3 linked regions of the Drosophila melanogaster genome follow. The protein of the gene in region 2 interacts with the protein of the main gene of each other region in a pairwise test. Each region holds a gene or a part of one and is shown on either strand. Other genes may lie near its edges. The genes, in order: dati, Snp and RhoBTB.

Evidence for each region.
Region 1: the proteins of Snp (region 2) and dati interact in a two-hybrid assay, tested with the Drosophila melanogaster proteins (one large-scale study listed by BioGRID).
Region 3: the proteins of Snp (region 2) and RhoBTB interact in a two-hybrid assay, tested with the Drosophila melanogaster proteins (one large-scale study listed by BioGRID).

The regions. Positions count from the first base shown.
Region 1 is NC_004353.4:393,260-398,040, forward strand, and holds the start of dati (datilografo), read right to left. Parts: upstream 2,347-4,781; 5' UTR 603-2,346; intron 152-602; exon of another isoform or gene 4-151; intron 1-3.
Region 2 is NT_033778.4:22,058,363-22,063,143, forward strand, and holds the start of Snp (snipper), read left to right. Parts: upstream 1-2,587; 5' UTR 2,588-3,196; coding exon 3,197-3,219; intron 3,220-4,781. Other genes in the region: CG13501 (uncharacterized protein), read right to left, coding at 833-1,497, 1,550-1,699, 1,750-1,832, 1,897-2,143, 2,202-2,298. UniProt on the Drosophila melanogaster protein: A broad-specificity exonuclease, capable of degrading both structure-specific DNA and RNA targets without sequence specificity in vitro. Requires two to five unpaired nucleotides in the 3' region for efficient binding and nuclease activity.
Region 3 is NT_037436.4:20,374,344-20,379,124, forward strand, and holds the start of RhoBTB (Rho-related BTB domain containing), read left to right. Parts: upstream 1-1,898; 5' UTR 1,899-2,258; intron 2,259-3,398; exon of another isoform or gene 3,399-3,496; intron 3,497-4,087; 5' UTR 4,088-4,116; coding exon 4,117-4,305; intron 4,306-4,368; coding exon 4,369-4,472; intron 4,473-4,538; coding exon 4,539-4,736; intron 4,737-4,781. Other genes in the region: Ide (insulin degrading metalloproteinase), read right to left, coding at 19-221, 272-500, 556-826, 884-1,018, 1,077-1,144.

The sequences.
Region 1 (4,781 bases), on a different chromosome or scaffold from region 2:
TACCTCTTTACGAGGTTTTTTTTGTTGGAAGAATACAGTGACTGTCTATATGCACGGCCTCGATTACGGTTACGATTACGGCTGAGACTTGGAAGTCGCTCCCAGCAAACAACTACAGATAACCTGGCGGCCCGCGAGTCATAGAAAAACTAATTTGGCCGCCGCCTCGGACAAGTATAAATATGACTGTTGCTGGGGGTTCAGACACGTCTCGTTTAGAAATAGAACTTGCACGCAAAGTGGAGTCGGCCTGAAGTCGAGTCATCGCTGTCGCCATCGTCGCTGGCGCAAAGTAAGCCAAACGTCTTCGTTTCAGGACTCAGCTCTAAGGCCTTCGGCAAAATATCTTCGTCCCGTCTTCGGGTTTACCAAGAAACAGCATCTTTGCTCAGCGGATAATAATGCTCTCTTTGGAATGGCTCTTAGTTGCCAAATCGTGCCACCTCGGAATAACGGTCAAGCCGGAAAACGGAAACTTTGTTCTTGTTACACGTATGTATATATATGCACGCATATGTTTATATATGTGTGTATATAAGGTATGATCGCCATTGTGACTGTAGGGATTCGATATTAACATGGAAGTTAGGATCAATAATTACCTTGAAAACAAACATATTCTCAGGCGATTACAGTACGATGACGGTTACGTCGCAGGTGATGGGCGGCATACCAATCAGGTAATGGTCCTATATTAGAAAATCCTATATCCTATTGACTTTTTACGTGCGACGGCTTTGCAGTTGAATGTCCGTGGGCTTAATATATACTTGAATTAGGTTTTTGATGTATTATTAAAAGTCATTTAAACTTAAGGCCGGAATAAGGCACACGTTACGGTGTCGCGATATATTGGTTATAAAATTCATTTATCGCCTATTTATCCCAAAACATGGAGTTAGATTGATGCAGTTTCTATTTGAATTTGTTTACATATAAATTTAAAAATTTTGTAAACGTTTGAATCACAATTTGTTACCCGATACGATCTACTATTTTGATGCCCAGATTTGTATTGTTCGGAAATACCTACATATGTACGCATTGTGACGTCTCATAATTTAATATACATATAAAAATATAATATGATATATTCCAATTTTAAAATAATTCGAGGTTCACATTTGTAACTTAAACGAATATTTAGTTTAAAATATCGTCCATTATATTACCGAAGAATGATATTTTGATTATTTATAGTAGCAATATCTTTAATTTTATATACTATTTTACGTACTGTTTACTATAATAACCACTATCTCTTCACGCTTAATCATGTATCTATACTATTATTTTTTGAGTATTGCTCTTATCATTAAAAAATAATAAGCGACTTGGTGTATAGTTACGTATGGTTATGCTAGGGCTAGCTGTAGGGTATGTGATAGTTCAAACTGTCTGTTCCGGTGTCAGTGTGTCTTCGGTAATCATTCAGGGAGTGTATTTTGTAGCTGTAGAAAATCTAAATGTTTTATTATATACTGTTTAAATTAGTATTAAGAGACTATATATGCAATTTAAATGACTATATGGTTATGTACACATTTGTGTAAATCATATAAATCATATTTTCGATTAGTAGCCTAGTTTGGACTTAAATCTTCACGTAATCATATTTTCGATTAGTAGCCTAGTTTGGACTTAAATCTTCACGTAATCGTTACTAAAACATACAGTTTTATATTGTATTAAATTTATAATTCTTTTGCGCATTCATTAATGTCGTTTTGTACTTTTGATTTCAATTTTGTTGTAAATTATATTTTTCATTTGTCTAAAAAGTAATTTTTAAATGGGTTTTCTCGTTGGTCTGTTTTTATGTTAGGTTATATTGGTTTAGATGTTATTTTTCGGATTGGTGATGAAGTTAATGTTGATGTGGTTCTTCCTTTTTGGTAATAGGTGTAGAAAACTTAGTTAATTAATGCATCTGTTCTATTGCGTTTAAAACTGAAAGATGGCTGGGTTGAGTTAGGTTTGTCGATTTGATCGTTTAGTTACGGATTCTTCTTTATTGTTAAAAACGATTTTTGGTCTATTGTGTTTGTTAAAATTATGATGATCTGAAATTAAATTAAAAGAAATATTGTTTTCATATTTTCATCTGAATTCAGTAAAACACAAATGAAATCGTCCAAGTAAGCATTGCCAAGCAATTCATTTGTGCTTTGTTTTTTTTTTTTTATCAAACAACTCTATTATTTGGTTAGTTTTTAGTTTTTAGCACAGTCCACAATCATTTTATATCTGGTTTAAGCACATTTGATAAAATAAAAATGATCCGCGAGGTCAGGACGATCCGCAGTCGGTTGTTCTACTCCATGGAATATTGCGTTTCTGAATGCCGCATCCAAAATAATTGAGAATAAAAATCATCGCCTCGGCATACGTTGCTTCCCAAGCTGGAGACTGGGATGGAGACAGCCGGGTGCCGAATTGGGGAAATAGCTGGCAGCAGCGGTGTGCTTATTATAAGATAAAAATTGTGTGTTAAACAAAAAGTGACAGCAGCGGGAGCGACAACAACAGCGAAAGCGGCGGATGTGGATTCAGATCCTTGCACTCGGACAGGGAACCTGTGCCAGCGCCGGCGCTGTTGGTAACTGCAGTTGCAGTGGCAGTTGTTTCAGCATTTGCAGTTGCAGCTCTACACTCAAAAAAAAATTGAATAAAAAAATTTCAATAAAGCACCAATTCCTGAATTACAATTCTTAAGCTCGGAGAGCTTATTGATATTCTTATTGCTCCTCAATTACACCTTGTAGGGATGACCTGATGAGGCCTCTAGTCTCTGTCTAGCCCTGCCCGTTCCCTTCTCCGTCTAAGGCGCGGGATATGGCTTTCTGGTCTTTTTTTCAAGTGTATTAAGCTGCATGCTATTGTTGCCCAGCGCCCATTCACTCCACGTGAGTCTGTGTGCGTACAGTGTACAACATATATGTATGTCTGGCCCATGCCGCTTTCATATGCGTTTTCGTTGCATCATCCCCTACGCCGCCCTCTCCAACTGATAACTCTCAAACAAGCAGGCGGAGGGGGGCTGTTGCACTCGTCGTTGGTCGTCGGGTCCCGTCAGCGCTGCACTTCCGCAGTAACATCCCTTATGGCAGCGTTGCAGCGTGATGACCACTGCAACCACCCAGCAAACCGACCTCCTCCCTGCTGTCTTGCTGCAACCACAGCACAGTCCGTTCTGGTCGGTGGAATGCAAATTTGTGCATGATTTAATGTCTACTTCAAGGCCTCTCTGGCACCTCCTGGCCCTGTTACTACCCCTGCCCAGCTCCTGTTTCTGTCCACGTTCAGCCATCTCCCTTCCGCCGCCGGACAGCCAGCCAACTGTTTCTGTCTAGCTCGAGTTTTGCGCTGCACTTGTGCATGTATGTGCGATATGGCTGCATTTCTGGTCTTCGTCACGGTGCGGCAGTATGCATTTTAATGCTTATGTGAAGTTCTTATGTACAAACACGTACACAATCAAGTGGGCGGCTCGCAAAGCACATAGGCATCCGGAAAACACTATTGAACCCTACCTTTTCAAAATGAATGTGCAGCCGTGTATGCTGCAGCATATACATATGTACATATTTAGGTAACGTTAGCCGCCACCTCTGCTGCTCAATCGATTTTGGTCTGTGCTTTGGTCTGTGGGAATCGACCTCTATCGATTTTCTTTAATATTATATTTATTTATGTACACACATACATGCATGCATTCGCAACAATTCGTGGCGTGGAAAAAAGCGGATACCTAGGGTATATGTATGTACATAAATATCTTCTTGCAAATTTGAATATTGTTTTAAAAGTATACACATGCTCAGTAAAAAAAAATTACAGGAAACCCACTATTTTTTTGTTGAAAATTATGTGCTATTCCCATAGATATATTTTACAGCAGTCGTACATGATTGATAAATACCTTATAGTATAGTACATAGTATCTTTTGGTATTTGGCTGCTATCTTGGATAGTGATCGAAGAGGACTTTGACGCCTTTTGGTGAGATAGTAGACAAGGCTACCATGAAGTCGCATTCACATCATCTCATAAAAGAGATCATAAACCCGAAATTCTATCAAGTCAGTCTAAATACAACTAGTCAATCCGCATACATATCTACATAATCTAAGGTTCAATCGGTCGACAGCTACGCATGAGCTTTAGGCAAAACCTAGGGTCCCGCGGTCTTAAAAATGGGCTTACAGTGTACAGCTAAATACAAGGACAGACCGAGCATACCAAATGTTCAAACTCACTTGACTCAATTGGTTAAGCTGAGAACTTGTGCTCAGAAAACGTGTTGTTAGGTTGGCTCAATTACGCACGTCAAACCCGGTCACGCTTACCTCAAACTGTCCTGATAGTACGGAAACACTTTTAGCTTTCCTTTTAGCATCCTAACTCTCAAGCAAATATAAAAATGATGGCTAGTTTTTCAAGATGTCCAGCAGTGCAATGCAAAAGAGATAAGCCGACCTTCGGACCACTAATACTTTTCTTTCTTGGCATAGTCTAACTTAGCAGTACTAAGTTATCTTAATAAAAGTAGCGGTCTCGAGCCAAAAGTTTTTAGGGTATAATATAATGCAGGCCTATGTATCTTTACTTTAGAAACTGTATACTGAGTGTACCAAATGCACTTTAGCATATGTATGTGTTGCATGTTGAGTGTGTGTTTTGTGTGCACATGCATGGTAAACTCATAATTGGTGCGGGTTCGGTATTTGTGGGCGAACGGTCATAAGGCAGCACTTCCACTCCATGACTGTGGCGAGCCT
Region 2 (4,781 bases):
ATGACAAGGCGTAAAACTTGCCGATTGAATGCGAAATGTGGCCCGGGCAGCCGGACGGACTCCTACCCATTGCCAATTCAAATAAATTAAAAAGGAACTGCGACTCGTTGCCAAGTTTGTCACCGCAGAAAAATAATACGGAAAAAATGCTCTCTATATACATATATAATACATATATATAGAAGATAGATATTAAAATATGTAGATGTGGAAAAACAGCGCAGTGGAGGCTTGAAAGGAACCGCAAACTGCGGTCGCTGTGGCTTCTCTGGTCAGTGGTCGTTACTTTTGCACTCTTGTTGTTATTTTTGCGGTGCTTGTCCTGCCAGCACCGCATCCTGGCATCCTTGCATACTTACATCCTTTTCGCCTTGCAGAGTGCCACTGCTCATTATTGTCGGCAATGTCCAGGCATCGGAAATTGGAAAAGTTTCCTGCCTTCGTGACAATCCACACTTTCGCTCACACGTTCTATGAATATTCAATGCAGTCATAGATTATATTCAATTGATATAATGACGTAAATAATAGTTGACAGGGTCAAGTACAGGATGAATTTATTTTTAAGAGATTTATAAATAAACATCAAACGAAATGCTCGAGAGTTGCTAAATATTTACTACAATTTACAATGTTTTGCTAAACAGCAAAGCTCTCTCTCTCCCTCTCTTTGCCATTTCTGCCCCTCTTTTAACCGTTTTCTCTTTGGGACATCAGCAGGGGTGCTTTTGAAACGGTTTGGATTTATCTGAGCGGTTGAAAGTGGGGAAAAGCGATGTTTTCCATGTAACAAACAATACGGTTCAAATGAATATAACTACAACCGTGAGATTTAACTACTATCGGCAATATCCCGACGCAACCAATCGACCAAAGCATCACGGGCGCATTCCGCATCAGCATCCAGGCAGAACAACTTGCAGATGTCCTGCAGCCAGTTGCCAATGATGTAGCGCTTAATGCACGGCATTACACCCAACTCCCGAAACACTTTAAGGCAATAAATTTGCAGGCGGGGATTATCCGTCGTCGAAGTCATGAGACGACCCACATAACACGGCAGTTGGGTGAACTCCCTGCTGCGCCACAATGCCCGCTTGCTATGGAGCCCATTGAGCAGGGCCAAAGCCGTATATTCCCAGTTCTCCACCTTCTGGCGAGGCAGCAACATTCGCGGATTCTCATCGGGCTGGGCAAAGACGTCGTAAAGCAGCTTTACACCATCCACGGCATCGAAACGCCGCTGACCCTCAGCACAGCAGAGTAGCAGCGCAAATGCCTTGGTGTTCATGTCCCAGAAGTTGGACAAGCGGTTTAGGATCCTCGAGTGCAGCAGCTCGAAGAGGCCCAGCTCGATGCCCCGATCGGGTGCCACTTCCAGCATGTCACACAGGTGATGCCACAAATGCAACGGGAATTGCGGACGGCATGGATCCTGTCTGAAGATCTCGGCTAAGGCGGAAAAGTTTTCAGGATCCTCCAGGAATATACCCAGAACTAGGAAAAAATATAACACCGTTAAATCCAATGAAGTGCATGCAGAGCTCACCTTTTGGCTTGCATGTCAAATTTCGCAATATCTCTGAAGCCAATTCATCCTTAATAGGCTCTTGGTTCTTAATGATTTTATAAAACTCCACCCTTAAGCACTTGCGGTTGGCTATATTTTCGGCTCCATCCAAATTGCGGGATAGTATATCTTTAAGAAATAAAAGCTTATTCTAAGAATTCACACAACCTTCAACTTACTATAAATCCTTAGATACATCTCCACCTCCCGGTGCTCCTCCTTGTGATGCTTCAATCTCATACGCATAAAGGCATTCTTCAACCTATTGGTAGGATAGAAACTGGATGATATCAAAAAAAAAAAACTCCTCAATGCAGACAACCCACTTTCTAACAAGGTCCATTTCAATGATAGCTCTTTGGGCATTCAGTGGATTTAGAACGAATTCCGACAACGATACGACTGCCTTCCAATGGGTCAGCCTAACATCACTATCCAGTTCTTTGAGCAATTTGGGCAGTGCAAACCAGCCGTAGGCCAGTTCAGCACGATCCGCCAGGTGCGTCGAGGTCGAATTGCAGCAGAGCGGCATACACTTGCAAATATTCCGTTTCTCCATATGATGCGTCCACTCTGTAATCCATTTTTTTTATGATTATCCTTCGCTGATTATATATCGCAACTAAATTACCCGTAGTCTGCAAGCTGTTTATGGAGGTCGGCTTCATCACATCCTTGATTTCGTGTTGCAGAAAGTGATTGCGATATCTCGCTAGCTGCTCCCACATTTTGGTTTAATGGTTTGTTGTTATTATAATGAGAAAATACAATACGTGTCAAATGCCAGAACTTTTTTCAAAAATCAACTTCTATTCTACGTTTCAACTTAACATTTCTGTTAGGAAAACTATGTTTCTGTACTGTAAAGCGCCATTGCGGCTGAGAACGTAACCCAATTGGTTGGAAGCTCAACTGCGTGTTGAATATTATGAAAAGGTTCGAAGCTCGGATGCAACAGCTGTTCGTCGCCTGAAATCGATATATCGCAATTTGGTTGATATATTTCGCCGATTCAATGCCGCTGCATTTGTGAACGGACGCCGAGCGAGTTACTACCGAATATTAGATGCGGACTGCAAGCGCAGCTATACGAGAATATACCGACAGGCACGCAAAATATGCAAATACCAGGAGTGCATCTCTATTGACCGGTCAAATACTCGGCTTGGCGGATAGTGCATTTGCAGTTGCAATTTCATCAATCGCCAAATGCACTTGACTGAAAGGCTGTACAAAAAAACAAAGAGAAAAAACCCAGTGTGCGTGCGGGAATATGTAAAAAAAAAACGAGTTAAATAAATAGCTAAATAACAAGCAGAAAGCAGAACGTAAGTATCGAAAAAGCGCAGTGTTTTTGTTGTGCCGGCTGAAATAAATTCGATTGTGTGCGCGCGCGTTTGTTTGTGTGTCGGCATGTGCGTGTGAGTGAGCAGACAACAAAAGGAATTCGGCTCGCTCAACTTCTTCCTAGTTTACCGTTACTTGCACTGCCAAAATCGCAAAAAATAAGGGGAATAGGGAGATAAATAAATAAGCCGACGAATTTCGAATAGCATAAATAGTAGCTCCTGCCAAAAAAAAAAAGAAGAAAAATCAGAGAAACGTCAGTCAAATCGAAAAACAGAAATGGCCTTGATAAAACTAGCAAGGTGAGTTTTTATTCTGTTTTCTCGCTAATATTACCTATAAAGTATGTGTATAGGAATTTTCCCGTTGAAAGTTGTAGTCCACCTTCTCTTTCTTTGCTTTTCCACTTAACAAACCGCAATTAAGTTGGCCAGGGGCGGAGTTTCCACCGAAAGGGGGTTTTTCCAGCACTTGCCCACGTAAATTGATTTTCTGTGGCCCCGTCATCCTGTCGTGCTGACCTGAACTGACCCCATTTTTCATTTCCATTTTCCGACAAAAGAACAAAGTCCGCAGCCTGAAAAATCCGGCCCTGGCCTTTTTTTTTTATTGTTGCCTCTTGGTCAACAGCAAAGCGCTTGAGGCCGTGTAATAACTTTCGGGCAAATATTTATTTCCCAGCAACGAGTTGTTGATATTGAAGTTGGTCAATGCACTTTGGCGCCCCTGAAACGCACTTCAAATATCGCTAAGTGTAATCAGGGACTCGGAAAAACGATGATAACAATAATTAAGCATATTGCAGAATCGTAGATATACATACAATTATATTTATGTATTTCAATTGTATGATAATATGATATACTTAATACCAGTACATTTACATTTACAAAAATAAACATCCTTGTGCTTAGATCCAAATTAATTTCGCATGAAATATTTTCGAAATCTTCATAATACCAGTTTCGCAACCAGATTAAACTACTTTTTAGAACACACAACGAACAATCGAATCTAATTTGAACAAGATCAATTCATAAACTTAAGAACACAGCGAACGTAGGATTATGATAATCTGAATTTCAAATGAACTGCTAATAATAGGAAAACTTACGTGAGGTCTGTGCAATTAATTCTGTTATTGTCTAACAACTAACAATGTATTTGTTTACCTTCTCGATTTCGTTTGTTGACTTTTCCAGCATGTACAACAACTAAACAAACTAGCTATCTGGCTATCGAATTTCCAACGCCATTATATCCACTATCCCCTTCACTATAGACTCCGATATTTATTTATTTGCTGTTTACGTTCGCAAAAAAAAAACCAAACAGTCGCAAATCACACATGATTAAATTAATCAAGCGGCGCACAGGCGTTAAGTTTGCGATCAGTTGATTGATGGCCCGCTGACTGATTGGCCGCGTGCTCAGCAATCAGAATTGGGACTATCCCATACGCCACATACACTTTGCCCGGAGGATCCGAGCTGCACTTGCTGCACTGTGAGTGCCCCACTTCTAATGGTCCGCACATAGTTGGAGCAGTGATTCACCTGACCCATTCCCTGGAAGGGGTTCGGTGGTCCAAAAATAACTCCCAGCCTTTCAGCAATTGAGATCAGAGTTGCTGGGACACGGACTTTGGTAATTGAGTGTAATTGGAAGTGAACACGAGACCACTCACTCCAATCCCCAGATCTCGGTGGCCAGATGACGGATGACAGGCCCAGTGGAAGCTGCAAAAGTGCAGCAGATTGCATCCACAAAGAATGTGTCTGTATCGCGGCCCGATGGCCCCAATATGTCCTCGCCTGACCTGCTAGTTCAATTTGCACATGAAACATACAGTATGTATTCTTCG
Region 3 (4,781 bases), on a different chromosome or scaffold from region 2:
GTGGTACCTTAAACTTACGCCTGACTTGTAGAACTGCGTCAAATCGTCTGTGGTAAAGCTTATCGTCAGCGATCGGATGTCTTTGATAGGCACTATTTTCACCTTTTGTCCATAGCGCTCCTCGGCGTAGGGGTGGCGTGGCCAACCTGGAACCTTGACGTTTTTGTTCTCTATTTCGGAGAACTTCTCCAATACCATGCCCTCCAGTTCGTCCAGCGATTCTGTCAGAGATTGATTACTTGCTGGCAGAAACGGCTATACTAAAACAAACCTTTTCCAATGACAGCCAGGCACATTATGTTGGCGGAGTACCACTGCTTGTGAAACTTTAGCAGCTCATCCCGCACATCAATGTTCTTGGACTTGGGTATTTCGGATAGGGTGGTCTTGTTGCCGCTGCCGAACTTGCTGTAGGCATGGTCAGGCTTTGCCAGGTGGCGGTTCACCTGCTTGATGCGCCACAGATCGCTGGGCAGGTTTTTCTCGTGCTCAGAGTTTACCTGCAATGACAGCGTCCTATTTCTGTCAGAAATTTTAATGAATGCTTTCACATACCGCATTGATTTCCCGCTCAGTTGCACTGGGCGTGAACAAGGGGGCTATGAAGAACTGCGCGAAGCGATCTAAGGCTCCATCTAACTTGTCCGGCGCCACGTGAAAGTGGTACTTGGTCATCAGGGGATAGGTGGCGGCGTTGCTGCTTCCGCCGCTCTGCGAAAGGTATGTGGTGTAGCCATTCTCATGCGGATACTTCTCGGTGCCGAGGAACAGCATGTGCTCGCAAAAGTGGGCCAATCCAGGCAGGTTCGTGGGATCAGACATGTGGCTGCCATGGGTATACTCATTAAAAACAAACATTGAGTGAAGATTTGATCTTATTTACCCCACTTGCACGGACAGCGCTGCCGCCGAGACATCTGTGTTGGGATCGCTGATGAGCAGGACCTTTAGTCCATTTTCTAGTTGCAATCCGCGGTAGTCGCGTGTGTCCTGCAGCGACTTTTCAATGTTGTTCAGCCTATAAACGACGAACCATTGCCTTTCGACGACCTCTAAGATGCGTAACGTGCACTTACCTCAATATGGGCTCCATGCTGTCTGGCTTCCTAGTTGCGGACTTTTGCGAGCTTTCGGCTATTGTCATCTTGGGTTTTATAAGCGTGCCAATCGTTCGATGTGTTACTGAAATGCTGGCCCTCAACGCACTTGACCTGTGCGAAATAAATGCGATTTAGTGGTGCCCGTTAGCGGAAATTTGTTTAATTGCTGCCAACCGTCGACCAAAAACCGCTGTTAAGGCAAAAATCGATTTTCTGCACGTAAGATACATTGAGTTTGTGAAATACTCTTGACGACGCTACTCCGGCTTTACGTAGCGCGCACAAGAAATCTTAGAGTGGGAGGAGTAGATTTCCAAGCCGGTCGGTTACACGTTCAATCAATTTTAATCGCTTTTTGGACCGAAAAATAAATTCTAACTAGTTTCGCAACAACTAAAATAGCAAACAATCATCTGTTCGCAGAGCTGCCAACTCACCGCGCACGCAGAACTAGTTTAATATGTTGCCAGATCGTTTATTTTGTGAGTGGTTCCAGATTTGAAATTCCCAATTGGAGAAATTTTACAAAGTGGTAGGCCATATTTTCAAATACGAAAGACTTAATAAGTTTAAAGTGATGATTTTTAATAGTTCTAATGTAACTTTGGACTAAAGTAAGCTGCATATTCACCTTACCTAGGATAGATGGCGATTTCAAAATGTATTTCAAATGCTTGAAATTTTTCCAACGACCATACAATAAATATTGGGCAACCCTGATAACAGTCATTATAAAAATAAATATTCCGTGAATTCCCGTTCTCCGTCAATCTGGCAGTGCTCCGCGCCCAACCGCCGCCGTTTTCCAACACTGGCCGGTTGCCGTCAAAGCGCGTAGAAGAATTGCGGGCTGTAACTGCAATTTATTATTTTTTAATTTCATTTATAGTGCACCTGGTCAGCGAGCACTGGCTCATCCGCAGCCATCCGTCGGCAACCAGCTCGCAGCGATGTTAAACTTGTGCCAGCCGTAAAGATTTCGCGTGTTTGCGAACCACAAACTGCGTCGCCATCGGTGTGTGGGTGCAGAAATAAATGCAAATTGTTGTAAAATGCCGTGCTTTGGTGTGCGTGTTGATAAGTGCAATACGCAAAAGTAAGAACATTGAGGCAAATCCGTGCAATTCGTGCAATCCGTGGGATCAGGCGTTTTCAGAGGTGAGTGCTGCAGTGCTACGTCCGCGGAGATTTATGAGTTCGGGAATTCTGTGCTCTCCCCTTCGGCCAGCAGTCGAAGAATTAGGTTCTAATCAGGTTTTAATTGTTTACCCACCAACATGCGTTTTCCTCGAGAAAAAGTGCAAGTGTTCAACGATTTTTCTCCCCTAAATGGGTCAAGTTTGCCGGAATGTCGAGTCCGAACTTCAAGATCCCCTCCTAAAAGTCCCTTCTGTGCCTCCTTGTGTGCGAGTCTGAATGTGTGTGTGGTTTGGTAACGGTATTTGTGGCCGTTTTGCAATGGCACGAGAAAATCAATAAGCTGGCAAAATTGAAGAAAGGAGACTTCCCAGACATGGCAAAACAGCGCAGAGTTTGTTAATAATGCTAATATGCTGGCGTGTTCTGCGAATTCTCGCGAATCAAAATGTCTAATTAAACCACAGGTTCACACCTCGCATGAGAAATAAATTGGAACCAGTCCCTAAATAAACTTTGTTTTTATTTCCCAAGATTATGGTTGGTGCAAATATTTTACAATGAAAACTAAGAACATACCTTTTAAAAACTAAAAAATACGATCTTTCCATTTTCAAAATACCTGATATCTTCAAAAACTAACAGTTGTTTACCTTCACAACGTCTTCTTTCTTTGTTTCTTTGTTTTTGCTTCACTTTGCTTAAGACTGGGCACTTAAATAATATATTTTAAAAATATTTCTACAAGGAAATAATAAAAATAAAAACGGTATTTTATAGTAGTTATATCAGACATTAATTTTTCAATATTTGAAGAATATTCTTCCCTCTTTAACCTTCATAAAGTCAATTCAAATGGCTCTAAATAGATTGAACACATAAATTATAGAAAATCAAAGCAAAAGTGGAACCGATTGCCATGTATTCCAGAGGTCAACGATCCACAATATTGACAGTAACTTAAAGTCTTCGCACGAACAAAAGACTTTCCTGTGGAGAACAACGATCGCTTCTGGCGACCACTTGAAGTACTTTCAATTGCATGGTTATTGTTTTGGGTTTAAAGCGCGTCCCAAAATAGACAGACTGCAGCTCGTCGAGAAGATCGGACAATGGATTGCCATGAAGCGTGGGCCACGCAGGAAGAAGTGTGCTCATTGCGACCGGAGGATTGAAGGCAGATATATTTTTAGTGCAGCCCAATTAAGTTCAATTAGAGGTTCAAAGAGAGAGAGCGAGCTTATCGCTCCGTATCCGAGGTACTTACTCCAACTTCCTCCGCGACAAGTGGATCAAGTGGGGGTCAATGAATTGGCTGGTTTTATAGCCTCCGTTTGCGGGATCCAATAGATTTCTAAGTAAATGATACGAAGCTGGTATCTGATTTCACTATAGTTATTTTCACAGTGCGCAGCGAGTAAACAAACAAAATTGCCTATTGGCGTAGATCAGTTATTCTGGCTTTACGTATAACTGAACGTAGAAGTGAATTTTCCCAGTGCGTAGATTATTTCAAACTATGTATTTCTATTTTGGGAAGCACTTAGGTATCTAGATTAAAATCAAATTAATCACGTGATGAAACCATTTTGCCTTCACACAAAACGTTAATGCAGACGACACTTTGTGTAACTTAGTAATTAGCAGGTCGATTGTTAGTCGAGAATTTAGCATCTGCTTATCAGAACTGAAAAACATTAAGGCAGCTATTCTACGTAGTTCACTTATTTATATTAGAAGGGGTGTCAGCAGTTTATTTTATTTTCAATATTTTCATTTATGTATGTTTTCCTCAGGAGAGACCACATTTTATTAAATCACACAAAAATCCAATACTATTTTCATTTCAGATTCCATAAGCTGGTTCTGCTATTTGTGCATGCCCAAAATGGACAACGAGCAGCCGCATCAAGAGCTAGTGAAGTGCGTCCTGGTGGGGGACACGGCCGTGGGCAAGACGCGACTGATCTGCGCGAGGGCCTGCAACAAACACGTCTCGCTATCTCAGCTCCTCTCTACGCACGTGCCGACCGTGTGGGCCATTGACCAGTATCGCATATATAAGGATGTGGGTTACCATTCTCTCAAGAGTCATAGTTATTGCATTTAACCGAATCCATATACATTAAAGGTACTCGAGCGATCATGGGAGGTGGTCGATGGAGTGAATGTCTCACTTCGCCTATGGGACACATTTGGTGACCACGACAAGGATCGGCGCTTCGCATACGGCAGGTGTGTAGAGCTCATGTAGCAGCATTTTCGCCATACGAATCAATAAGATGCCTTCTTGACCTACAGATCCGATGTGGTGCTGCTGTGCTTTTCCATTGCCAGTCCGATTTCCCTGCGCAACTGCAAGATGATGTGGTATCCGGAAATTCGCCGCTTTTGTCCGGATGTTCCCGTCATTCTAGTTGGCTGCAAGAACGACCTGCGCTACATGTATCGCGACGAGAACTATCTCTCGTATTTCGGCGAGAAGGGAACCTTTGTTCGGTATGCATAGCTAGCAGGTTTCAGCCGGTTTTGAGTGGCTTTCAC